Linked DNA regions of Xenopus tropicalis. The protein of the gene in region 1 interacts with the protein of each later gene in a pairwise test. Links are inferred from orthologs where the notes say so. Each region holds a gene or a part of one and is shown in the gene's direction. Other genes may lie near its edges. The genes, in order: txlnb, cep57l1, vim, cep63, washc3, nmi and deup1.

Region 1 (4,058 bases):
TCTAAATGTTGTGTGACAGCATGTAAGTGTGTATATGAGTGTATAAAAGTGTGCTAAAGTGTGCAAATTTTTTTTAAAAAACTGTTCTAATATGTGTGTTCTATGTGTGTGTAAATGCAAGTAATTGTATGTGAGTGTGTGAAAGTGTGTATAATAGTGTAAGGAAAGGGCACTTACCTGTCCTAGAGCTAGATGGCCAATCAGATTGCAAGCAATCAGATTGCAATCAGCTGTCCTCAGTGGTCCTGCAGAGTCCTCTGTCCTCTGAGCCGAAGGAGAAGCAGCAGATCACATCTGCTGCTTGGAGGTTGGTCCTATGATGATTGCATCGCAGGACCCACATGACAGCCCCCCTGGCTCGTTGCCCAGGGGGCTGTCATCGCTCAGGACTCTCTGCAGAAGTGGCATCTGCCAAACAACGTATGACATACGTGGTTGGCAGATAAAGCATATTTCTGCAATCACTTATGCCATACGCTGTTGGCAGGAAAAGTGTTAAAAGACAAGAGGAAGGAGCTAGCACATAGTGCTAGCCCATAGTGCTTACAAGGTAAGTGGGTGGGTCAAAGGGCTGCAGTTTACAGTGGATGAGGCATTGCCTCATAAGTGCTAAGACTGAGTAATGGTGGCCATACACTGTAAGATCCACTCGTTTGGCGAGGTCGGCACCTATAAGTGGGCGATGTAGGGCTAATTTGGCCCTAGGGCCAAATTATAGAATTAAAATGGCAGGCATAGGTGCCAAAATATTCTCTGTACCATGGGGTGCATACATTAAATATATACACACAGATTTAATTCAAAAAAATTAAAGATACAGTAGGTAAAGAGGGCCCTGCTTAATACAGATGACACTATAGACATTGCAGTTAATGTACAATCAGATATTAATTGTTCTTTATATCTTTAATTTATGTGTGTGTAGATAAGATCTTGTCTTTTCATACAAGTCGACCCATAGTCTTACAATGCTAGAACTGTATGTAATTAAATTCCATACAGTAAAGTCACGTTTCTTAAATATCTTCTCTGCTAAATATAGCTGTTGCTTTGTATTTACCAACAAAACTTTTCCATATAATAAAAAAAGCATTTTCATAGTTTTAAATTTTTTTTACAGAACCTACAATTTGTTGTTTTTTTATGTGAATGCCCTTCAAGAGGGTTATAGTTGTATTCTCTTATCCTTTAGTTGCATTCCCTGTCTAATTTTGGCAAGCTGTCATCGCCCTCATCTGTTCCTTTTTCCCCTCCTCCATAAGCCATTCTCTAAATGTCCTGCCTCTTTCTCCAGTTGTCCCTTTTTCGCTCACGTTGCCTACATAGGTTATACTTTCTGCTCTTCTTCAAGTCTTCCATGGTAAGTTCTTTAGAAATATTATATTTTAATTAATTCCTAGATAACCGCATTTAGGATTTTATGCTTGACGGTTTAGCTCTTATTTGTGATTTACTTTATTTCTGTTTCTAAATTACAATAATTTAAAGGGCAGGTTATAAGGAAGCCATCTGGCCTGGGCCCTTCATTCTGTGAAGTATTCTTACCTGGGCCCTACCTTAGGGAAAAATGTTGCCAAAAATACAAATACTCTGTAACATTTGTCAGATGCTTTTAGTTACATATTCAGGGATGTTTAGTTTGGCTACCTGGCTGTCGGGGTGTGCTGAGAGTTTTGATTAAAAAAAACAGTAAATCGGGATCTCTTACTGGACCTCCCCAATTAACATATTTTTCTCCCTTTTTATTGACGCCTTGGTCTTCCCACTATGCCTGTTTCCCACTCTTGTTTAACTGTAGTCATTCAAGGTCTGATATATGAAATACAGCACTGAGTTTCTTTAATTGTTAAAAACTTTACCTAATTAGCGGTGATTCTTTTGCAGTGCAAAATGTCTAATTTCTGATTTTTCAACATTGCAGTTAATCCCTTTTGGCAGAGATTAATATATCTGTCTGATATTGTGTACTGCCACTGACAAGGAATTCTTTGTTTGCCAAGAGAGCAGTGCTAGTATAGTAAAATGGGGCTTTATTTAACTGTAGGATTTATAATATTATGAAACACAGTACTTTTTTTTGTTAGCTTTTCACAGGGAGTATGTTTGGTAAGTTTGTGTGCACTTTAATATGTAATACAAATGCTATTTTGACAAACCCCTGGGATACTTTTTCAGTGGGGCCTAAAATAGTTTCTGGCTTGACAACAGGTGCTGTCCATCTGTATGAAGGGACAGAAGGGAGCACTTTGCCAAGAAGAAATACAATCTTTTTCTTGATCAGTGACATATAATGTGCTGCTTTTTATTATAGCGTTATATTCTAACATTAAGAAAATATGTAAATGCAAGAGTTGCTCTGAATTGATTATATATCTGATTATATCTATCAGTAATTTAAGTGACATCAAAAACATCACTTTTTAGAACACAGGGACTCAAGCAGTGTTGGTTTTAAAACAATGATTGTGTAGCCATTAAAGGGCTAATGTTCTTTTATGGTAACTTTAGGATGTTATAGAATGTTCAATTCTTAGCAACTTTTCAAATGATCTTTATTTTTCAGTTTTTGAATTATTTGGTTATCTCTTTCCAGCTTTTAAATTGGAGTCACTATCAGCCAAAAACCTATTACTCTGTAAGGCTACAATTTTATTATTCATATTAAATTCTCTCATTTAAACCACAGCTTTGTTTCTAGGCCAGACTTGCTAAACCATAGCAGCCAGATAGATAGACTGTGAGAGCTGATGAACAAATATATAAGCTACAAAAAAATTAAAAATAAAAACCAGTTGTAAATTGACTCAGAGTATTGAAAAAAGATTTTTTTGACGAGTTGCATTTTTTGACGCTCGTTTTTTTTACTTGCGCACTGCAAATTTTTCCGCTGCAAATTTTTGCACACATTTCACAAAATAATCCGCCAATGGTGAAAGATGGAAATTTGCAGCAAATCCATGCCTGCTGAAAAATTTAATTCATCACTAGTGGTGAGCAACAAATTGGTCACAAGCCACTGGTTAGGGATCACTGGTCTACATCATGCTACAAATTAATTTAAAGGTGAACTTTAATAATATCAAAACTGTTTGTAGCATTCTTTACATCTTATTATTCACAAATATAACCTATAATATATATGTAAAATATATACTTAGAAAAGGTGATTCCTAATGATAAAGTACCACATGTGTAAAACATAAGGATATTAGACATTTCATTATCTGCACTCTGCATCCTGCATACTTTTCCATTTATATAGCCATAGAAACTTAAAATATCCTTATATATTGTACTGGGAGTATAGTATTTCCAATATTATAACTTCATCTCCCTAGGTAAATGATGAAGTGATACTGACTCAAAAAAATTACTTTTCAAATTATGAATCTACATAAAAAGTTACCTATAGGTCATGTTGATCTTTTTTCACTGTTAGGGTTGGTTTTGTATGTAATTGTTGCTTGAAGTTCCTACACCTGACTGTTTTGACAACCTGACTGTCCCTTCTCAGCCTGTCAGTTATAGCTTCTAATGCTAACGGCCTACTGCTGCACAAATATGGCTGCCCCCTCACAGAAGAACATGGGGGATCAGATAACTAATGGAAAGCATCAGGAAATACTTTTTTGGCAACATGATAAAGCTCATGCAAAGCCAATGTTACAATAGATGTATAAAAGGTTTCATTTCTGGTGTCAGTATCTTTTTAAGGCCAGTTATGGTGAAACTGGCAGAGAATATCTATTTGGTTTCCTAAACACTACTGTAAGTGAAGCTTAAAAGTGAGCAATATGGGTAGTGCCAGGCCAAGCCATCCGGGCACCCTAGACCACCCAGCTGGCCTCCTCGTCCAGCCATTTTTGACACAGGGGAGGGGGGGCGGCGCTGAAGACAGGGGAGGGAAGTAGCTCACATGTGGATGGTGGGGGAAAAAGGGCCCAGAATTAGGGTTAGGTAAAAGAAAAGGTACCATTGCTCCCTAGGCACATGCTTTTTCTGCCTACCCCTAGTTCTGGCCCTGGATATGGGGGTGAACACTTGAGTGCTACCCTAGA
Region 2 (2,337 bases), about 15 Mb from region 1:
TTGCACATGATGAAACACCACAGCCCACAGGTTTCACAAAAGAACCCTAAAACTGCTGAACACAAACCCTCCGTTTTGCCAGGTGGAAGTAGAACTATACCCACGCGCTTAATATCTTCTTTTACCGGAGACAATTTGTCTGACATTTTGTTAGCTTTACAAGATGAGCTGGGGCAAATTAGTTTGTGAGTACTCCATAGTTATATATCAATAGGCATTCATAAAGTAATGGATCTACAGTTCTGCAAGTTACGCAGCACTTTACATTATTATGTATGCCAAACAGGGCTATTACAATAATTTAATAAACAAAGATTACAGAATAAAAATAGGATCAGAAAGCTCTTACAAGAACTTATAATGTAAGGCCCTGGTCACACAGTGTTGACTCTGCTTCTCTCAGCCTGAGTTTTGTAGACAGTCTGAGAGAAGCAGATATGCTGTCTTCCGCAGCTCCATATAGCTGCACTGACAAGCATAGCTTCCGCCTGAGTACAGCTACATGGAGGTGGATCTGAAAATGCCTGTTTTCATGTTGTTCAGGCCAATTTCCACCTTGTTTAGCTGCAGGCAGACAGAAGCTGTGTCTGTCAATGCAGCTATACAGAGATGTAGAAGAGAGCCAATCTGCTTTTCTTAGCCTGCCTACAAAACGCAGTCTTTATAGAAATAATGGTAATTTTAATAAGGTAATTTTACGACATATAGTAGTTGCATGCTGAAATCATATCCTTTTTACTTCTGTGATTTCTCCAGTAGCCCTCCATACATATCTGCCTTCATTTCCTTCAGCACCATAGATTCTTCATGTTCTTAGTAGAGGACCTTTACTTGCTTGCACAGCAAGCTGTTCTAAGCTCTGTCTGTTAGTCATTTTCTATTTTTTCCATACTACAGCTATAGGATCCATTATCCGGAAACCTTTTATAGAAAACTTAGAATTATGGAAAGACAACCCCGTAATACCGTAATGTCCATTTTAAACAATGAATTTTAATTCTTAAAAATATTTTCTATATTCTTTGTAAAACAGTAGACTTTTTATGGAAAGATCCCTTATCTGTAAAACCCCAGGTCCCCAGGATTAAAGATCCTATACTTGTACCATCAATATTTGGCATTTCCACTACGGTATACTCTTCATGTGTTACAAAGGCAATATTAAACCTCGAATCTGTGTAGGTTTTTTTGTGCGTGTGACCATGGAGGTTAACCGAGTACATTTGTGTACCTTTTAGTATAAAAAAAAAATGCATTTCATTTTCTCTACAAGCCCTGTTGATTGGTCTTACTTTTTCCGTTACTGGTCACTTACTGTATCACTTGCTTGTCTAACATATGCATTTTTTCCTAGTGAACACCAAGAGCTTCTCAGGCATATCAATGAAACAAAGAACACTGACATGAAAGAAGATCTAGAACGAGAACTAGATTATGTTGTGAAGCAAATGGAAATAAAAAGTGATCAGATAATGAAATTAAAACGTCATCAGTTAAATGTAAGCAACATAACATCATAGGTGTAATGTCACACTCTGACATGCTGTTATACAGATGGTGGTATAATCTAGTGTAAAAATTATGGTAAAAATTGAAGTCCAGTTGTAATGATATACCTTTAAGCAACATGCAGACAAAAGTTAGTTGTTTGCACATGACCGCATTATGTTCTTCAAAGTAAGATAATGTAAGTATAATTTACATAAAGTTTCCAGCTGCAGCAGTGCACACTGGAAAATCTAAGGGACCACCATGATCAGTCTTTAAAACGATCAGTCTTTATTAATACTTATGCTTTGGTGCTGAATTTCATTAGCTGGAACTGGTGCTTTAGTCAAGGTGGATAGTCTCATTCAAGTATCAGTCTATATTGTCACAAAACCTTCAAGCATGTGCTAGGACAGTGCTGTCCAACTTCTGCGGTGCCGAGGGCCGGAATTTCTCTAGCATACATGGTGGAGGGCCGCTAATGGAAGCCAGTTTTGACCACTCCCCTTTTAAACCACACCCACTTCAAACCACCCATTTTATTACAATGGTGGTAGTGCAGCAAAAACCCAAATGCATGGTCCTCACTGCAGGGATATCAACCGTCATTTATTTGTGAAAGAATTATATTATGGTCATATTAAGACATAACCTTAAATCCATATGCCTCCTCTTCCCCTGTGTAAAGCACAGTAACCCCCAGCACATAATTACACACCTTAGGGACCATTTATTGGCTATTTCCGACTGCTAATAAACTTGCAGAACAAACCCCTGCCAGGTTCACCTCCCACAGGCAGCATAAGGCAGGCAGAGTATGGCACACACAGGCAGTACTCTGCTTGCCCT
Region 3 (3,500 bases), on another chromosome or scaffold:
GGATGGGGTTAGTAGGGTTTGGGGAGAATTCTTCAATAAATTAGCCTGCAAATCAACCCTTTTTTTTACACAAAATATTCCCTTTAATTAAAGACCATTGCAGCCTAGATGCTCCACTTACTGTTAGTTTTACATATAGATGGCTGGAGTGATTGATTTTATTGATGACAGGTTGCAGGTTGGGTGTATTTTGGCTGTAAGGCTTAACCGAGTCCAGATTGCCATAAAGCAGTGCATGGACCATTTTCAAAGTGACCCTTTCCTGCTTTTAACCTTGATGTTCTTGGGTTAGAGGCATCTGGATGGAATTTGTGCTCTTGGCTACCAATAGCCTAGGTCAAACAACATCATAATAATTTTTGTTTTCCTTTAATTCATGCTTTTTTTATCCTTAGAGCCAAAGATGAACTCTGCTAAGTTATGTCATTTGGGTCTCGCCCTTAACATCTGGCATTTAAATGATTAGCACATGGGACTGGGCTGCAACAGCCCTGCATTAATATGCCTTCCTTTAGAAATGACTAGAATATCAAACCTTTAATATGCTTCTTAAAATCATTTATGTGTATTAAGGAGTTGACATATGATTTACTAGCTGTTAACTGTAACACCATTTTATTCTCAGGATGTGGACAATGCCTCTTTGGCACGTATTGACTTGGAGAGGAAAGTGGAGTCTTTACAAGAGGAGATTGTTTTCCTGAAGAAACTCCATGATGAGGTGAGACTAGAAAGCCCTACATTTATGTAGTCTGCCATGTTTGTAGTTGTATCTTGATTCTGTTATATAAATTCTACGTTTTTAAGACCTGAAAAAAAGTTGAACTTTTTGTTATTTGTTTGACTAGGAAATCCGAGAACTTCAGCTTCAAATTCAGGAGTCACATATCCAGGTTGACATGGATGTGTCCAAACCGGACCTCACTGCTGCCCTGCGTGATGTCCGCCAGCAGTACGAGAATGTGGCTGCTAAAAATCTTTCGGATGCCGAAGACTGGTACAAGTCTAAGGTGCGTCACAAGAGATTCTGCCATTAGTGGTGGTGGTTGAGAATATATATACACGAACTGTGCACCTTATGGTGCTTTGGTGGAGCTGAGAGTTGTACTTTAACAACAAAAGGTTTGGTGATGGGAATTAAAAAACTTAGCTATAGTTTTCTTGCTATACTAAACCTGCTATCCCACAGTCCCTTCCCAGAGGCCATTATCCCCCCACTGCTACTATAGGCACCATCTCCCCCCACTATACCTGCTATCCCACAGCCCCAGTCCCTTCCCAGAGGCTATTATCCCCCCACTGCTACTATAGGCACCATCTCTTCCTACTATACCTGCTATCCCACAGCCACAGTCCCTTCCCAGAGGCTATTATCCCCCACTGCTACTATAGGCACCATCTCTCACTACTATACCTGCTATCCCACAGCCCCAGTCCCTTCCCAGAGGCTATTATCCCACTGCTACTATAGGCACCATCTCTCACTACTATACCTGCTATCCCACAGCCACAGTCCCTTCCCAGGGGCTATTATCCCCCCACTGCTACTAAAGGTACCATCTCTCCCTACTATACCTGCTATACCACAGCCACAGTCCCTTCCCAGAGGCTAATATCCCCCCACTGCTACTATAGGCACCATCTCTCCCTACTATACCTGCTATCCCACAGCCCCAGTCCCTTCCCAGAGGCTATTATCCCCCCACTGCTACTATAGGCACCATCTCTCACTACTATACCTGCTATCCCACAGCCACAGTCCCTTCCCAGGGGCTATTATCCCCCCACTGCTACTAAAGGTACCATCTCTCCCTACTATACCTGCTATACCACAGCCCCAGTCCCTTCCCAGAGGCTATTATCCCCCCACTGCTACTATAGGCACCATCTCTCACTACTATACCTGCTATCCCACAGCCCCAGTCCCTTCCCAGAGGCTATTATCCCACTGCTACTATAGGCACCATCTCTCACTACTATACCTGCTATCCCACAGCCCCAGTCCCTTCCCAGAGGCTATTATCCCCCCACTGCTACTATAGGCACCATCTCTCCCTACTATACCTGCTATCCCACAGCCACAGTCCCTTCCCAGAGGCTATTATCCCACTGCTACTATAGGCACCATCTCTCCCTACTATACCTGCTATCCCACAGCCACAGTCCCTTCCCAGGGGCTATTATCCCCCCACTGCTACTAAAGGTACCATCTCTCCCTACTATACCTGCTATACCACAGCCACAGTCCCTTCCCAGAGGCTAATATCCCCCCACTGCTACTATAGGCACCATCTCACCCTACTATACCTGCTATACCACAGCCACAGTCCCTTCCCAGAGGCTATTATCCAACTGCTACTATAGGTACCATCTCTCCCTACTATACCTGCTATACCACAGCCACAGTCCCTTCCCAGAGGCTAATATCCCCCCACTGCTACTATAGGTACCATCTCTCCCTACTATACCTGCTATACCACAGCCACAGTCCCTTCCCAGAGGCTATTATCCCACTGCTACTATAGGCACCATCTCTCCCTACTATACCTGCTATCCCACAGCCACAGTCCCTTCCCAGAGGCTATTACCCCACTGCTATTATTGGCACCATCTCCCTATACTATCCTTGAGCATTAAAACAACATTCTGGTTTACATTTAACTGTACAAGAAAAACTTTAGGGAGAGCCTTGGCCTGTTATGAGTAAAATAAGAACAACAATACAATGTGATGTGTCAGTCTCAAAAACAACCATTTGTACATGACCTATAATGGCATTTAAGATACTAAAATGTAGCTTACTGTGTTGTAGTTTGCGGACCTGTCGGAAGCTGCTAATCGCAACAATGATGCCCTGCGTCAAGCTAAGCAGGATGCCAATGACTACCGCAGACAGATCCAGACTCTCACCTGCGAGATTGATGCAATGAAAGGATCTGTGAGTACAACAACTGTGACAAATGAAGGGGAATGTTGGGCAGTCCAGTTGAGTTTTCCACAGACTAAAACTTTCCAAGTGCACTGAAGCAGACAAGTGTGCATATTACTTGGATCACAAATATCCATGGGAATGCCTTTTTCTGTGATGTGATGGGGGAGAATTATACTAACATTTTAACCCATGGTGTGAATGAATTGGGTACGCCAATGATGTTATTGGTTTTATCTAGTGCTAACAATACTGTACAGTAAATAATTATGGCAGAGCCGGAACTAGGGGTAGGCAGAAAAGTTACATGCCTAGGGTGCAACGTTGAGGGTATTTGGCACATTCTTTTGCCTACCCCTAGTTCCAAGCTCTTTTTATACCCCCCACCGCGAGCTACCTCCATCCCGTCTTCAGCGCCGCCAGCAACCCGGCTTAGCTCGGCACTGAATTCTGGTACAAAGGGTCCCTACCTATAGAGCTTTTTGTGCCAAAAGGATAAGGATAAGTGACTTTCTGATGCTAGAAGACTCAGGAGTCATCCACAGACCTGAACCCTGGGGTTAGCCCTCCC
Region 4 (3,500 bases), about 67 Mb from region 1:
TTGTATATTATGCCTTATTTATAAGAATTGGTCACTTTGTTTTCCTGTTTGAAATATAGATATTTCCTCTTCTGCATATTAATCTCTAAGAGGCCCCCAGACATTTCCAAAATGGCGTACAGCTCAGTGTAACTCTCTCAGGTCAATTCTAAGATCTTCTGTTTTGCTTTGTTTCACCCATTCTTCAAGTCACACCTCTTGTAGGAGCACCATTGGTGGATCATTAGCAGATTGATAGGGATTAGCGGCCTATTGTCAGGGGACAAACAGAAACCCTAGAACAATAGCTGCAAAAACCATCATTAACATTTTCATAAACAAGTTTTTACCTCATATTTGCATTATTAAATCTTTATATATAATGGAAGGAACAGTAACGCCTCCCAGGTAATTTTTAATTTTAGCAGCACTTCACTGACACTCCATAAAACTATACATATTTGGCACTGGCATATTCATGAAACATGGCGATTTCTAAATCAGTTGTATTTCCACATATAAAATAAAACTTTGGTATTTAGACCCCTAAATTTTGTTACAGAAGTGGAATTACACAAAAAATTATAAAGTCCAGGTTGTCCTTAAGAAACTGATAGTTTTCATGGGCAAACTATAATTCCCCTTCAGGAAATGCCCCTAAAGTGAAATGACTGGCAAATAAAATGCTACAATTCTGCAGGTAAAATTGTTATTCCAAGGCTTGTGTAGATGTGGGTCTGGGTTTGATGGCACACCAACAGATTTTAAAAGGGCAAAAGACAAATTGTCAGTAAAATTACATCTAAAAGACAAAATCTAAAAAATTTTTACAAAAGTGGAGATAGAGATTTGTGAATAAGGTGGAAAATCCGACAAGTCTATCTGCATTTTTATTTTGTCTCAATATTGCCACTTTTGTGAATTCCCCCTTTTGAGTTTGACCACTCCACAGGATACCCCTCTCTCAGACCTCGGTTATTCCTCCCTCCTGTCTATGACACTCACAGATACATATGTTCCATGAGCATTTAGTACACAACTGTGTTAGTTTGGGATGTACATTATTTATCTTTGAATTATGTGTATTTTTGGGGATAAACTAATCTGATTCCTACAGGTTAGAAGACTGAGACAGCAGCTCATACAGCAGGAAGAAGAGACTCAGAATAAGACTGTACAGTATGAGGCTCAACTGTCAGGCTTTAAGGAGGAGGTGAGCAATACTCTTTAGCCCTGCCTTATCCAACATGTCCTTGCGTGTCATTGGATTTGCTTTCATAACACAGCTGGCCTATCTGCCTTTTATCTCCATACAATCTGTGCCCTCATTAAAGGAGAAGGAAAGGCTAGTAAAGAGTTAATCTCAAGCTGCAGGCATACCTTCTCAGTAGTGCCCTTAAGTCTCCCTATATTTCTCCCGTTCAGAAGATCAGAAGCCAAACAGGAAGAAAAAACGCTGAGCTGTGTAAAGAAAGTTCCCATAATGCCTCACTCCTGCACAGACACCCAGACCAAGTGAACATGCTCAGCTTCCTGCTGATTGGCTCAGATTCACATTCCTAAGGTGGGGAGTGAGTTCTTAGGATTCTTGAGGGAGGGGGGAGCAGGAGAGAGCAGAAAGCTGCATGTCTGTGGCACAGGAATTACAGACACAAGAAATATTTTGACAAAGAAGTCAGTGCAGCGTTTCTGTGAGTGCTTATGGCTGTATTTACATAGACCTTTCTGATAAAGCTTACTTTTACCTTTCTTTCTCTTTTAAAGCAGTATTTTTAGGATCTTAAAATATTTCACTGTTTTGCTCAGTTAAACAGATTAAAAAAAAGTTACGAGAAAGTACAGAAGAAGCACCTGCGATCAGAGATGAAGAATAAAGTAGACGAGGAAAGATCTGAAGTCAGCCGCCTGACGCGGCGGTTAGAGGTATGTATATTTTTATTTATATAATGCTACTTGTGCACACGGCACTGTACTGAACTATACATTCAAGGTAAACCAAAGCTTAAGCAAACAGGTAGGGCAGAAATGTTGTTCATTATGTTTTGTGCTCCTGTACCAGCCAGAGGCAACCACAGCCCTTTAGCAGGGAAGATCTGTGCCCCCAAATATGCCCCAGTAGCCCCCCATCTTCTTTTCTGCTGATTCCCTTACCCATACTCTGTGCTGCTGGCACTTACCTGAGCTTAGGGACCCACTTACAATATACTGTGTGTGTGGCAGCTCTGAAACCAGTTAGCTAGCATCAGACTTTAATAATTAGCCCTGCAGTCTCAGCTTATTTTACAGGCCAACTTCATTTTCTGCTCAATACTTTGTGATGACCCCTAAGCTCAGCTTCTCAACAGCTGCCCAGAGCACACTGAGCATGTGAGCATGTGAATTTCAAAATTCAAGATGGAGGGCTCCTGCGACAACTCTGAAGGCCTGGATCATTGCTGCTACAAAGATGCTGAAACTTTAGGCTGGTTCACTATAAAAAATATGGAATTTTAGCCATATTCATTTTTATTGTTCTTTAAAGGGCATGTCAACCCCAAAAATAATTTTTTGCATAATGAAAGAAAACATAATTCTAAGCAACTTTCCAATATGAAATAATTAAAAATTTGTAGCGCTTTAAACGTTATTTGTAAATGTAATTGCTATTGAAAGCAGCATTTGCTGAACTCCTGGCTGTTACATTTTAAACAATGTCGCAAAGGTCTTGCTTCTCCAGCAAGTCAGGTCTGTCAGTCTGCTGCTTGTGTTACATTGTTTCAACAGTCTGAGCCACCAGGGCAGAGATTAGAAAAGGACAGGCAAACACTGCTTCTAATAGCAATTATATATACCAACTCAAAAACCATTACAAACTTGTAATAAATGTATATTGCAAGGCTGCTTAGAATTTTGTTTCTTTTATTTGCCAAAAATTATATTTTGCAAGTACAAAGTACAGTTAAATTAAAAATTAAGAGCTAAGTGTCAGAGACAAGTGGAAGGACAACCCTCCCATATAGAGTTTACAGTCTAAGTGGTTGTAAGGGAGCTGAACCTTTTTAAATATGCACTTACTTCTTAGATAAAGTAATAGAGAAAGACAATTTATAGTTTAAGTAATTGTAACCTTGGGTGTTCAAGCTTTTGTGGAATGAAAATACTCAACTTCCATGTACTCCTGTGCAACTGAAGGTTGCCTTTGTGTAAGTTCCTGTGTAAAAACTACTCAGTTATTTGTTTGCTGTAATTATGACTGAGCAGATGGACTGCTGTTATTGTTGTAGATATAAATGATCCTTGTTTTGAAAAGTATTGTGATTCTTTTGAATTATACTGTTAATAAATGCAATCACTGGTGGGTGTTCCCATAGGAATTCCGACAGAGGTCTTTGGATTGGGAGAAGCAGCGTCTGTTGTATCAGCAGCAACTGGCTGGACTTGAGGCACAACGCAAAACTTTGAGTGAGCAGGCAGAAATGTACCAGGTATATTATCAGATGAGTTGTTTTTTTAGTCATGCAATGCTTACATGAATTAATTAC
Region 5 (3,500 bases), on another chromosome or scaffold:
ACTCCTAAGTGTTCTTTTTTTACCTTTTGGTTACCCCTTGTCCAATGATGAACTGAAAATAAGGGTTCTTAGTGCCCACAGCCTTATATACTGTGGTTAAAATTTTGTAGACATCCCTTATATATTGGAACTGGCTTTATAAGCCACACCCATCATAGGTGCCACTACATCAAACAATGACTTTTCAATTCCGAGGTTCCTGCTTAGTAGTAGCAGTTTGGGGAAGACAATAATGGTACATACAGAATTGGTTTGCAGAGATGGGAGCAGAAAAGCTTTACTGGCCTGCACCATGCATTGATCTTAACCCAACTGAACTCCTGTAGGGTGAATTAGAATGGCAGCATGAGCCAGGCCTGTCGTGCCCAACATCTTACTTTTAAATGGAAGCAAATGCCACCAACAATGTCCCAGCATCTGGTGGAAGCCTTTTAAGAAGAGCATGTGTTATAAAGGCGGTTAAAGAAGCAAAGAGACAACTTCCCTTGGTTTTAGAGTAAAATGTTGGACAGAGGTGTCCAGATAATTTGGACCATATGTAACTGGGAAAATCTTGCGGGAGGTTTGTGTGCATTTTATGTAAATTTATACAAACTGACCTATTTACATTGAAACTGATCAATTGTGGTCATTTAGAACAATTCCATAAGTGATGGTATTCTTCAAAAAGAGGAGGCAAAATCGGAAAACATTACAACTGTTTCGAAAGATCCTAGATATGCCCGATATCTAAAGATGGTCCAAGTGGTAAGTCATTCTAATAACTTTATTGTTAAATAAAACTGCTTATTTGGTGCGTGTATGCTAAAATTTGTAACTGCATTGGCAAAATATAAAATTTTATGTCGTGCAGCCTTCTGTAAACTGCAAGGTTATTTAAAGCGCAAACCATAAAAAAGTTTTATTTGTATAGTTTACAGACATCCTAGCTGATATGATACCCTGCATGTAAAATATATTTTTTTTTTAACCCTTTTGTGTTGGACATTCTAAGAAATTAATGAATGAAATAAATATCACATAGACCTGTTCAGCTTGTGGCCTTTCAGCTGTAATAAATTGTCATCCCCCAGGATCATTGGGTGGACCACTGGTTAGATAATTATTAATGTCTAGTGTCCTTATACATCTTAGTTGTTGTTTATAATTACTTTTATTAGTCACAGTAGTGACATTACCACACTATTGCTGGCATAATAACAATATTACCATTAACCTTCCTACAGTATGTTTGATTCCAGTGATGATCCATGTAATTTTTTTTCTAGTACCACTTATCATTTCCTTTCACTTTTTTCATAGCTTCTTCACCAATTAACACTTTATACTCTGCTTTCTGAGCAAGGCTTCATGTATTACTAAACTTTGTTAATCCATTTACACTTGCTTGGTGGGTCACTGTGATTTAAAATATGGATTTCTATTGACTGTATGGCTGCTGTGTACCCGCCAGTGTGTAAAAAGGTTTTAATGAAAACAAGATTTGCCACTTAAGCACCTTCAGTAAAATGTTCAAATATTTTTTTTATAGAACTACATACTGTGAGCTTTAATTAAATTGGGTCATAATTCTTTTACATTATACATTTTTAAAATGTGGTATACTGTAAATGTATTAATTTTTTTCAATTACCAGGGTGTCCCAGTGATGGCTATCAAGAATAAAATGATTTCAGAAGGGCTAAATCCAGACCTTTTAGAGTAAGTGAAGATATGTATGTGGCTTGGTTGCAGAGTGAGGCAAGTGATCCATATTGTCTAGATATAATGTGATTGGCTGAACTACCTGGACTTTTAGGTTACTTTCTTTATGTTTAAAACATTAACATAGGGTATTTTGTAATGAATGCCCCCCAAAGGCTAAATTATCCTGAAAAATATAGGTTAATTGCTTGGTGTATTCTGTTTTATATGTAGCAGTTGGTCTCGGGCATCCATAATTGGCCAGTATAATGTAGTCCATAAGCAAATATAGCATTCTATTCTGGCCTGAAAATGAACAACAATCTTCTTTTACTATTAAACAAGGAGTAGGGAACTTGGAAGTTTTGTGCAGTTATGGTTTTTTGTTGGTTTACAATGTTCAGGATACCCCTATGTGAGAACATGTGATACAAAAGGTAGGCAGACCAGATGAATGACCACCCCATGAATGTGTTGTTTGCAGCTGGAACAAAAACCTTAGGTTTAAGAGCGTGCAAATAATTCAGTATCTAAACAGTAACAAAATAAAATAAATTTCATCATCAGCCACTAGTGGGATATTTTGCCTTTAACTTTGCAATGGTAATGAAGCTACAGATTTGTGCAGTTTTATTAACAGACACAAGGTGGCAATGTTTGAGTTTTCAAGGCATAGTGACTATACAGGGTTTGTTCTCTGCTGTAACGGAACCATAACCGATATAATCCTGAAGTTCCGCAAGAGTATGACGGCTGAGCAGAACTGTCATCAGGCAGTTTGTTTTGTGTACAGAGCAAATAAATTATATGTAGATTCCCCAAATGTAGCTTGTGGCTACTTACAGCAAAAACCTAGCAGTGCTGTATTACAATATAAAGTACAGCCAGTTAATAAGGACCATGAATAGACATCAGTAGTTAGTTTTCCTAAATTGTGCGCCACCAACTTGTTTAACCTGTCCTGGAGTTAGTAGAAACTACTGGCTCTGTTGGCTGCTGCAGAAATTCCTAAGATTCCATGCCCAAGACCTGCTTATATGAATAATGGGGCCTAAAACTGACCATGAACGAAATCTCCAATAGCCAAATAGAAAAGTATAACATGCTGGAATATATAATAATGCATTGTATTTAATAGACTGTCTTTTTCTGTGCCTTCCAAACTGCATTACTGTATATTTCCATTAACTTGCACTGTAGGTCTGAGTTGAAATTCTGATACATTTCTGGGCTTCTTTCATAGATATAAGGAGAAGAATAATGCAATTTCTAACGTTTATTTCCCCAGAACTCCTGATGCACCAGTGCCAGATGGAGAAGCTGAAGCAGAAGAAAGTTCCGACAGTGAGTCTTCCTTCAGTGACTGAGAGCATTTAGACTCCTCCTAATCCGGGCAGATTTGTTCCCACTTATTGCAGGCATCTGATCTGCCTGTTATCTCATTACTGTCAGTTTACATAGATACACGTTGTAGCTACAAGTGTAGTATTTTAGGACAAAATGTGCCTTAGTGTTAAACCTGTTGATGCCTCAGAGCTGTAAGGTATATAAAATAACCTTGTGTGGTATCCCAAAACTTAATACGTTTATTTGATTTTTTTTTTCTTTTGTCTCATATACAGTAAACTTCTCCATAAACCCTTTTTATTGAACTAACAGGAAAAATGCACTAAAAAAAATACAGGCACCTGTGTATAAATATATATATATATATAAAGTGTATATGTTAAACTATCAGGATTATCCTATTTGTATGTTTATTATTCACATTTAATGCACAAGTGGGTATTACTGTACTTAGGGAAATAAAACAGGCC
Region 6 (3,500 bases), on another chromosome or scaffold:
TCCAGGTCATGTTATATCTGTAGTAATAAGTCAAATCAATTGGACTACCTGTGTTTTTCTTGAAGACTTCATTTGTAATGGTTTCTCCATGAATATCTGCTGTGCCTTCTTGTTAGCCATCACCAAATCTCTCATATGTCTGGTAGATGCTTTTGTTTTTATTGGATGCTGAAGGTATCTCGGTATAGTTATTGCCTGCTGTGTGATTATTTTTAAACTTTTAAAGGCGCTATGCTATGTTGTGTAGAACTTTCAAAATATAGCAATAGGGTACAAATGCAGCGCTGGTATCTGATTACCTCAACTTTCGAATTCTTTCCCATATCTAAGGAAAAACATGATGCGGCAGATAACCGTAGATCGAACTTAATCATGGAGAAAGTGGATGCAAGTGATGCAAAAATGAAAACTCAGCGGCAGGTGGAAGAACTCGCGAGAAAGCTAGATGGAACTGATGAAGAGAAAAAGGAAAAAGAAAATCTCTATGAGGTAAAGAAGAAACTATTCTTGCTCATTGTCTTATTTAGCTGCCATCATCGATCTGTACATTTAGGGGACTCTTTTCTCTGTTTTTTTCTATGCTATGGGAAAAGATACCCTGTCCTCTCATATAAAGAGTAATCATGTCCCCTCGCAAGCGCCTCTTTTCCAGAGAAAACAACCCCAACCCTGACAGTCTAACCTCATAGTTTAACCCTTCCATCCCCTTTACCAGTTTAGTTGCACGTCTCTGCACTCTCTCCAGCTCATTAATATCCTTCTTAAGGACTGGGGCCCAAAACTGCCCCCCATACTCAAGGTGAGGCCTTACCAGGGACCTATAAAGAGGCAAAATTATATTTTCATCCCTTGAGTATACTATACTATAATATATGTCTCTGAAAAGCTTTAGCGGTTTATTTATCATTTGCCAAGTGATAAGTGCACTAAGGGACATCAATTAACATGCAGAACCCACAGAGCGTGCACCTAGTCCCAGTTCCACCGTAGACACGGAGCCTTGTTCAACTCACAATGCTCTGGAGCCCTGCCCTGTGCCTTGCCCATTTGTGTCACAGAGTATCTGGCCTAGCTATCAGCTTGCCACTTTGACCACATTGTTAGTCTCAATTATAACGATTCATCGATGTTCATTGGTTTCTAATTTTCAATATTTTAGAGAGAAATAAAGGGGCTAAAAACGGAGAATTCAGATTTACAGAAACAGATTCAGGATCTCACAAAAGCCTTTAAAAGGGAGCAACGTGTTTTGGAAGATATAAAGGAGGATCTGCAGGTAAAGACACTCTCCCTTCTGATGTTTCTTTTGGGATCAGAGTAAGTTTTCGCCAAGGCAAATTCTATCGAACTTGTATTAGGCCGCACAGAGCCTGTTGTTAGTTTTTAGATCTGTATAATCTTTGTATTCTGTCTGTCTGGCAGCAGTCTCCATGTAGCCCTCCTGGAGAGTGGCAGTACCCTTATAAGAAGCCAGCTGGGGGTGCATACCAGTCAGGGACCACTTATTAATATAGGGTATGACCTGTAGAACACAGTAAATGATGGCATCATAGGTCTTCCCCTGTATTAGGCATAATGTCTAACATGTACAAACATAAAAATATAATTATAGGTATCAACCCTGTTTTATGCCAATTAGAGGGCTCGTTTATGATCATAGATGCAGTGGGAAATTTGTGTTTTTCCCTGCAGTGAGTTGCGTCTAAAACCACTTGCATCCAAAGCGTCTCTGAAGTCCGTCTTGCCTTCCTTTCCGAATGCTGCGCTGCTGAGTCTATATACGCACAGCACTGTGCAAATCCTGGAACTGCCATTACCTCCTGACCAGGCAGAACGCCAGGGTTCCCTCAGCCCTCTCTATCAATAGGCACAGTGTACTTACAGCTAAAGAATGGGGTGCAGGCATCATTTGCACACCAAACACTGACACTAGATCTGATTTACAGTGAAGCACACACACTTGCGTCCATTTTAACCTCACTGATTTTTTTCTCTGTACCAGGCTGAGATCACATTGCCACAAAAAAACATTAATTTTAAGGTTGAGGAAACCCCCAAGGATGGAGAATCTTCTCCAGACATATCCTACAAGTGCTTTGTTACAATAAATGGTGTCACTATCCTCGAAAGTGGGCAGACTCTTTTGACATTTGAAGACATCGAAGGTAAGACACAAAGCTCAGAACACTACTGGGCTGCTCTCCCAGTTGCCTTGGAACCCAGTTCAACCCCACAAACTCTGTGCCACATAAAGGGTTGAGGGGAGGTTTTTACTGTCAGTGCTGCCTTGGGATCTTCTGCTTCAATTATCCTTCCTGGCTGAATACTGAGCTCTAAACTTGACCCATGACCAATAGTGCTCACTTTGGAACCAAACTCAATGGACTGAAGGGCCTCCTCCAAGAACTGAAGGGAGATCATTATTTTTGAGATAATTATTTTTTGAATGCCCCCAACCCAGCTTTTTTGCCATTCATGTTGATACCATGAGCAGTGTGGATTTTTAAGTTGAAGGACAAATCAGCTAATGATTTCCAACAATGTGATTCCAGTACCAACTGCCAAAGAGCATGGTTGAGTGTAGGATGTAAATGTTAGGTTGAGGGAAACACACTAAAAAAACGGTTTGATATAATAATGGAAGCTTTTTTTGAAACTGATTAGCCAGACATCTGTTAGAGCAGGGATCCCCAACCTTTCTTACTTGTGAGCCACAGTCAATTGTAAAAAAAATTTGGGGAGCAACACAAGCACCAAACAAGTTCACGGGGGTGTCAAATAAGGGCTGTAATTTCCGATTAGGCAGCCTCTATGCAGTTTGGTAGTACTTTTTGTTTTTATTCAACAAAAACAATAAGCCTGAAATTTAAAAACATCCAAGAGATTGGTGAGCGCTATGTTGCCCCCGGGCCACTGGTTGCGGATCACTGTGTTAGAGTTTTGGTGCAGTTTTGCAGCTACCATTGTCTGTCTTAAAACATCTGGATCATTAAACCCACTGTAGCCTAAACAGGCACAACACACCTCTACGACAATCTCTAGCACTGCCATAGCTTCCCTCAGTAGTGGTGGGCAATAAAGCTTGTAGGCAGCCTCTACCTGCCATTTTTAATTTGCAGTTTGAAGGCAAATGATAATATACATGTATCTCAATGCACATGAGAAATTTGTTGGTGCAGTGTTGAAGGAAGAAGTGCAAGAGGATTAAGAGGTGCCTTAATGCTCATTCGAGCAGCACTTCTTCATTGGGTCTGGTTGCACTGTGCAATTTACTACAGATAAAAAATCTGCTACAGGGTGTAAAGGTGGCCATACACGGGCTGATTGTAGCTGCCGATATAGGCCCCTTAGACTGATTTGGCAGCTTATCAGACTGTGTAGGGGCAGGAATGACGGCCTGAAATCGGGAAGATATTGATCGGGCAGGTTAAAAAATTTAGTCGGATTGGGGACCGCATCGGCTTGTCCCCAAACTGACTGCGCCCATTGCCGCCGTTATA
Region 7 (3,500 bases), on another chromosome or scaffold:
CGCTGGGTCAGATCGGGATGATCAGATTGTTTGGCCCATGGGTCATCAACTGGACCTCTTGTCTATGGTGGCTCATCTGGTGAAGGGTGTCATGAAGTGAAAGACCCACATGAAGTGAAAGACCCAAATCTCCTTCTCATACTTGTCCCGGGAGGGGAGCCCCTCTGGGGTTCATTTATAAAGCCTGGGCAAATTCACACCTGGGCAGTATCCCATGGCAACCAACAAAAAACTTTTCAACCAGCAGGTGCCTGAAAAAAGCTAATCACTGATTGGTTGCTATGGCCAGGTGTAAATTTGCCCAGTGTTAGTGCAGTTCTGAAGGAATAGGAAGAATTACTGAAACAACTGTTGCCATGAAACACAATATATTTTTTTTTACATCACTTGGAAAAACAAGCTCTGAAGTGCTATAAAAAATAATTGGTATTTTATAAATCGTAGAGCCATGAACCCCCTAGGTAAGCGATTATGACTGATGGGGTCTGGCTATTAGGTTTGCAAGGAAGGAGTTTGTATTTATGGAAATTGCGCCAGTTGGTTGCCCATAGCAACCATTGACATCTTTGCTTTTTTTAAAAAACTTATTTACCAGAATAAATGCTTTGGATGTTGCTCTTACCCGATCACCTTTACAGATGCTGATATCAAATAATATAGCAGTCAGTAGGCACGATCACAATTGTTTTGCCCACCGCATTTTAGTATCACAAACGGGCAGGTCCTGAGTTCAGTACTCTGGGGCAGTGACTGATGCGAATAATGTATAATCTCTATAAAGCGCTGTGGAAATGGGTCGGCGCTATATAAATAACAGGAAATAATAAACAGGCTGAAACTGGCCCCTATGAAAACTGCCTGATTTGCCCATGTTTGCACTTTCAGTCAGTTCTCATAAAGGGTAAGTAAAAGGCAATGTGATTCTGAGTAAGAGATAGACAGCACTGTGATATAGACATTACTGCAGTGCAGTCCATTTCTTCCATGTAGCTGACCAGTTATCCAATAAAACACTTTCCAAGATACCTTTTGGAACAGGCCTGCAGTTGGTCAGCATTACTTTAGTATAAATATAATGAGAAATAAATGTAAAGATTAGTTTACATGCATTCCCCTAAACAAACATTATTGCCCAACTCACTGCGCTGATCCTAGTCACAATGAACAGATCATGCTGGCAGCCATTGAACTGGAGTTGGCATACCTAGACATATGCATTTTTCAACCATTAAAATTCTCCACCCAACACATATGTGAGCAGTCTTTGGCTAGAATAAGAAATTATTTTGTGCAGCCGGTTGCTTATTCAATCAGAAGCGACCAAAATGGCCCATTCTGCCTTTTCATATATTGATGTCTGGGCAGATGGATGCAAAATAATGGTGGTAGTGACCCAAAAGGCCATGTACTTTCCGTTCAGCAGAATAGAGACTGGAATAGTAATTGGAGAAAAATAAGTAATAATAATTACAATAATAATACAATTGTAGCCTCACAGAGCAATAGGTTTTTGGCTGCTGGGGTCAGTGACCCCCCATTTGAAAGTTGGAAAGAGTCAGAAGACGGCAAATAATTTAAAAAACTGTAAACAATAAATAAAATGCAAGTTGCTTAGAATTTGTCATTCTCTTCTCTTTGGCATCATCGTACTGTTGGATCAAGGCCGCGGGCACAAGTGGCACACATGCCAGGCAGATTGATAAAGTAGCTGGAGTCTCAGAGCACTAACGGATATAGAAAGTAGGGATGCACCGAATCCTAATTGGCATAAGCTAATTACGTTTCTGAAGGTTTAAAATTTTCAACTTCCATGTTTGCTTGACAAAAAGGTCACGTGACTTTTCGTATTCAGTTCGGCCAAAAGCGTGGATTCGGCCGAATCTAAATCCTGATGAAAAAAGCTGAATCCCGAACCAAATCCTGGATTCGGTGCATCCCTAATAAAAATGACTTCCATCTGTAGATATCTTGGCCAAAATATTTTTTACAGAAATCATTGTCTAAAATCTTGACATCTTGGTTGGGAACTTTGTATAATGTGCTGATGCCATGGCAGCATCAGATGTTTAGGAACTTAGTGAACAGCACTATTAGAATGTGCTCGATTGGTGGATTCGAAAGTACCAGATATTAGATTAGGCAAGAATGAGATTGAGTCAAATAGACATCAATGGACGGTAATGAGAGTCAAGTTAAGGTGTTTGACCACCGCTGTTCTCTACCCGATGGCAGTGATGCCACGTGTCCCATCAGCCTTTGGGGAGAAGGCTTGTTGGCTCTTCTAGATGCTCTTGGAAGCCCAGATTGATGGATAGATTGAGATTTGGGGCAAAACATGCATTTGCTGTACTAGATGTTCTTGAATCTGTTAATGATTCTTGTTATGAGTGATGGGTTCTGAGCCCAAGCTTTGCCCCTCAGAAGGGTACTGAGTAAGAAAACAGTCCAAAAACCTCTACCTTTAGGTTTATTTGTATTGTTTGATATATTTGTAGATAAATTCAATCCATAAATCAGTCAAAGCTTGTAGGTATTTGTCTTCCTGTTACATGGAACAAAGCAAAGCTCAAGAGACAGAGCTTAGCTGAAGGAAAGAACATTGGACCCTACAGACAGACCAAGGGAAGTTCTAAGTTTGCCTCTGTAATACAATTTTTGCTGTTCTGTGCACATAATAGGATTTATTTTGTACTTCATCCCATTTTTGCTCACGCTGGATCGCTTCCAGCTTAAAATCAGATTTTTATTCAAGAACTTAGATATCCAGCAGAACATTTCCATTAGAGGATTTTTGTGATTTAATGGAAACCTTTCCTTTGGCTCCCCCACGTTCTATATTTACTCCCCGGCTTCTCATCACATCTAATAATTGTGGTGGCGCAGTTACCAGAAGCCGTTCTTCCATTTCATTTGTCTAATTGATTCTCAGTATGTCGTTACAATTGCAGGGTCACAAAATAATTCTGATTTTATGTGTCGTCCTGGTAGAAGGAGTCGCTGAGCTATCAGGAGCAGCTTTCCAGCCAGAAGCAGCTGCAGAGTGAAGCAATTACCAATAACCAGTCTGAAATGCGACGACTGCGGTGCCTGCTTGATACTTCCCAGGAGACCATCAGGAGTGACGGGGTCATCATAGAAAACCTCAAGTCTACTGTAAAAGAAATCACATTAAGCAGGGACTCGCTGAAAGATGAAAATCAGCAGCTCTTACAGGAACTAAGGAGATGTCAAAAGCAGTCCCAGGTAATGGCCGGATAGATGGCGGCACGCAGCTATCATCTGTTGATCTGTCAAGCGAAATAATAACGTGTCATTTACCCAGCTATCAGGTTACCCGAACAGTTCCGTGTAAATATGGAAATTATTATGAAGAGTTGCTGCCGCAGTTATATCCGCTATCATGTAGGAAGATGCAGAGCTTTAATGGCCACCCTCTAGTACAGGGATCCCCAACCTTTGTTTACCCATGAGCAACATGTTAATGAATAAAAAGCTGGGGA

The links.
Region 2: the proteins of txlnb (region 1) and cep57l1 interact in binary tests that used the Homo sapiens proteins (3 or more experiments, as listed by UniProt). The two-hybrid records come from large-scale screens. The link is inferred for Xenopus tropicalis from reciprocal best matches to the Homo sapiens genes TXLNB and CEP57L1.
Region 3: the proteins of txlnb (region 1) and vim interact in binary tests that used the Homo sapiens proteins (3 or more experiments, as listed by UniProt). The two-hybrid records come from large-scale screens. The link is inferred for Xenopus tropicalis from reciprocal best matches to the Homo sapiens genes TXLNB and VIM.
Region 4: the proteins of txlnb (region 1) and cep63 interact in binary tests that used the Homo sapiens proteins (3 or more experiments, as listed by UniProt). The two-hybrid records come from large-scale screens. The link is inferred for Xenopus tropicalis from reciprocal best matches to the Homo sapiens genes TXLNB and CEP63.
Region 5: the proteins of txlnb (region 1) and washc3 interact in binary tests that used the Homo sapiens proteins (3 or more experiments, as listed by UniProt). The two-hybrid records come from large-scale screens. The link is inferred for Xenopus tropicalis from reciprocal best matches to the Homo sapiens genes TXLNB and WASHC3.
Region 6: the proteins of txlnb (region 1) and nmi interact in binary tests that used the Homo sapiens proteins (3 or more experiments, as listed by UniProt). The two-hybrid records come from large-scale screens. The link is inferred for Xenopus tropicalis from reciprocal best matches to the Homo sapiens genes TXLNB and NMI.
Region 7: the proteins of txlnb (region 1) and deup1 interact in binary tests that used the Homo sapiens proteins (3 or more experiments, as listed by UniProt). The two-hybrid records come from large-scale screens. The link is inferred for Xenopus tropicalis from reciprocal best matches to the Homo sapiens genes TXLNB and DEUP1.

The regions. Positions count from the first base shown.
Region 1 is NC_030681.2:63,185,840-63,189,897, reverse strand, and holds the start of txlnb (beta-taxilin), read left to right. Parts: upstream 1-1,258; 5' UTR 1,259-1,273; coding exon 1,274-1,360; intron 1,361-4,058. UniProt on the Homo sapiens protein: Promotes motor nerve regeneration. May be involved in intracellular vesicle traffic.
Region 2 is NC_030681.2:77,956,228-77,958,564, reverse strand, and holds part of cep57l1 (centrosomal protein cep57l1), read left to right. Parts: coding exon 1-185; intron 186-1,354; coding exon 1,355-1,499; intron 1,500-2,337. UniProt on the Homo sapiens protein: Centrosomal protein which may be required for microtubule attachment to centrosomes.
Region 3 is NC_030682.2:28,577,923-28,581,422, reverse strand, and holds part of vim (vimentin), read left to right. Parts: intron 1-625; coding exon 626-721; intron 722-848; coding exon 849-1,010; intron 1,011-2,812; coding exon 2,813-2,938; intron 2,939-3,500. UniProt on the Homo sapiens protein: Vimentins are class-III intermediate filaments found in various non-epithelial cells, especially mesenchymal cells. Vimentin is attached to the nucleus, endoplasmic reticulum, and mitochondria, either laterally or terminally.
Region 4 is NC_030681.2:130,326,526-130,330,025, forward strand, and holds part of cep63 (centrosomal protein of 63 kDa), read left to right. Parts: intron 1-1,096; coding exon 1,097-1,192; intron 1,193-1,785; coding exon 1,786-1,902; intron 1,903-3,329; coding exon 3,330-3,443; intron 3,444-3,500. UniProt on the Homo sapiens protein: Required for normal spindle assembly.
Region 5 is NC_030679.2:49,091,941-49,095,440, reverse strand, and holds part of washc3 (WASH complex subunit CCDC53), read left to right. Parts: intron 1-636; coding exon 637-747; intron 748-1,636; coding exon 1,637-1,701; intron 1,702-2,971; coding exon 2,972-3,050; 3' UTR 3,051-3,500. UniProt on the Homo sapiens protein: Acts as a component of the WASH core complex that functions as a nucleation-promoting factor (NPF) at the surface of endosomes, where it recruits and activates the Arp2/3 complex to induce actin polymerization, playing a key role in the fission of tubules that serve as transport intermediates during endosome sorting.
Region 6 is NC_030685.2:76,351,363-76,354,862, forward strand, and holds part of nmi (N-myc-interactor), read left to right. Parts: intron 1-330; coding exon 331-489; intron 490-1,159; coding exon 1,160-1,276; intron 1,277-2,002; coding exon 2,003-2,165; intron 2,166-3,500. UniProt on the Homo sapiens protein: Acts as a signaling pathway regulator involved in innate immune system response.
Region 7 is NC_030678.2:165,843,015-165,846,514, reverse strand, and holds part of deup1 (deuterosome assembly protein 1), read left to right. Parts: intron 1-2,988; coding exon 2,989-3,243; intron 3,244-3,500. UniProt on the Homo sapiens protein: Key structural component of the deuterosome, a structure that promotes de novo centriole amplification in multiciliated cells.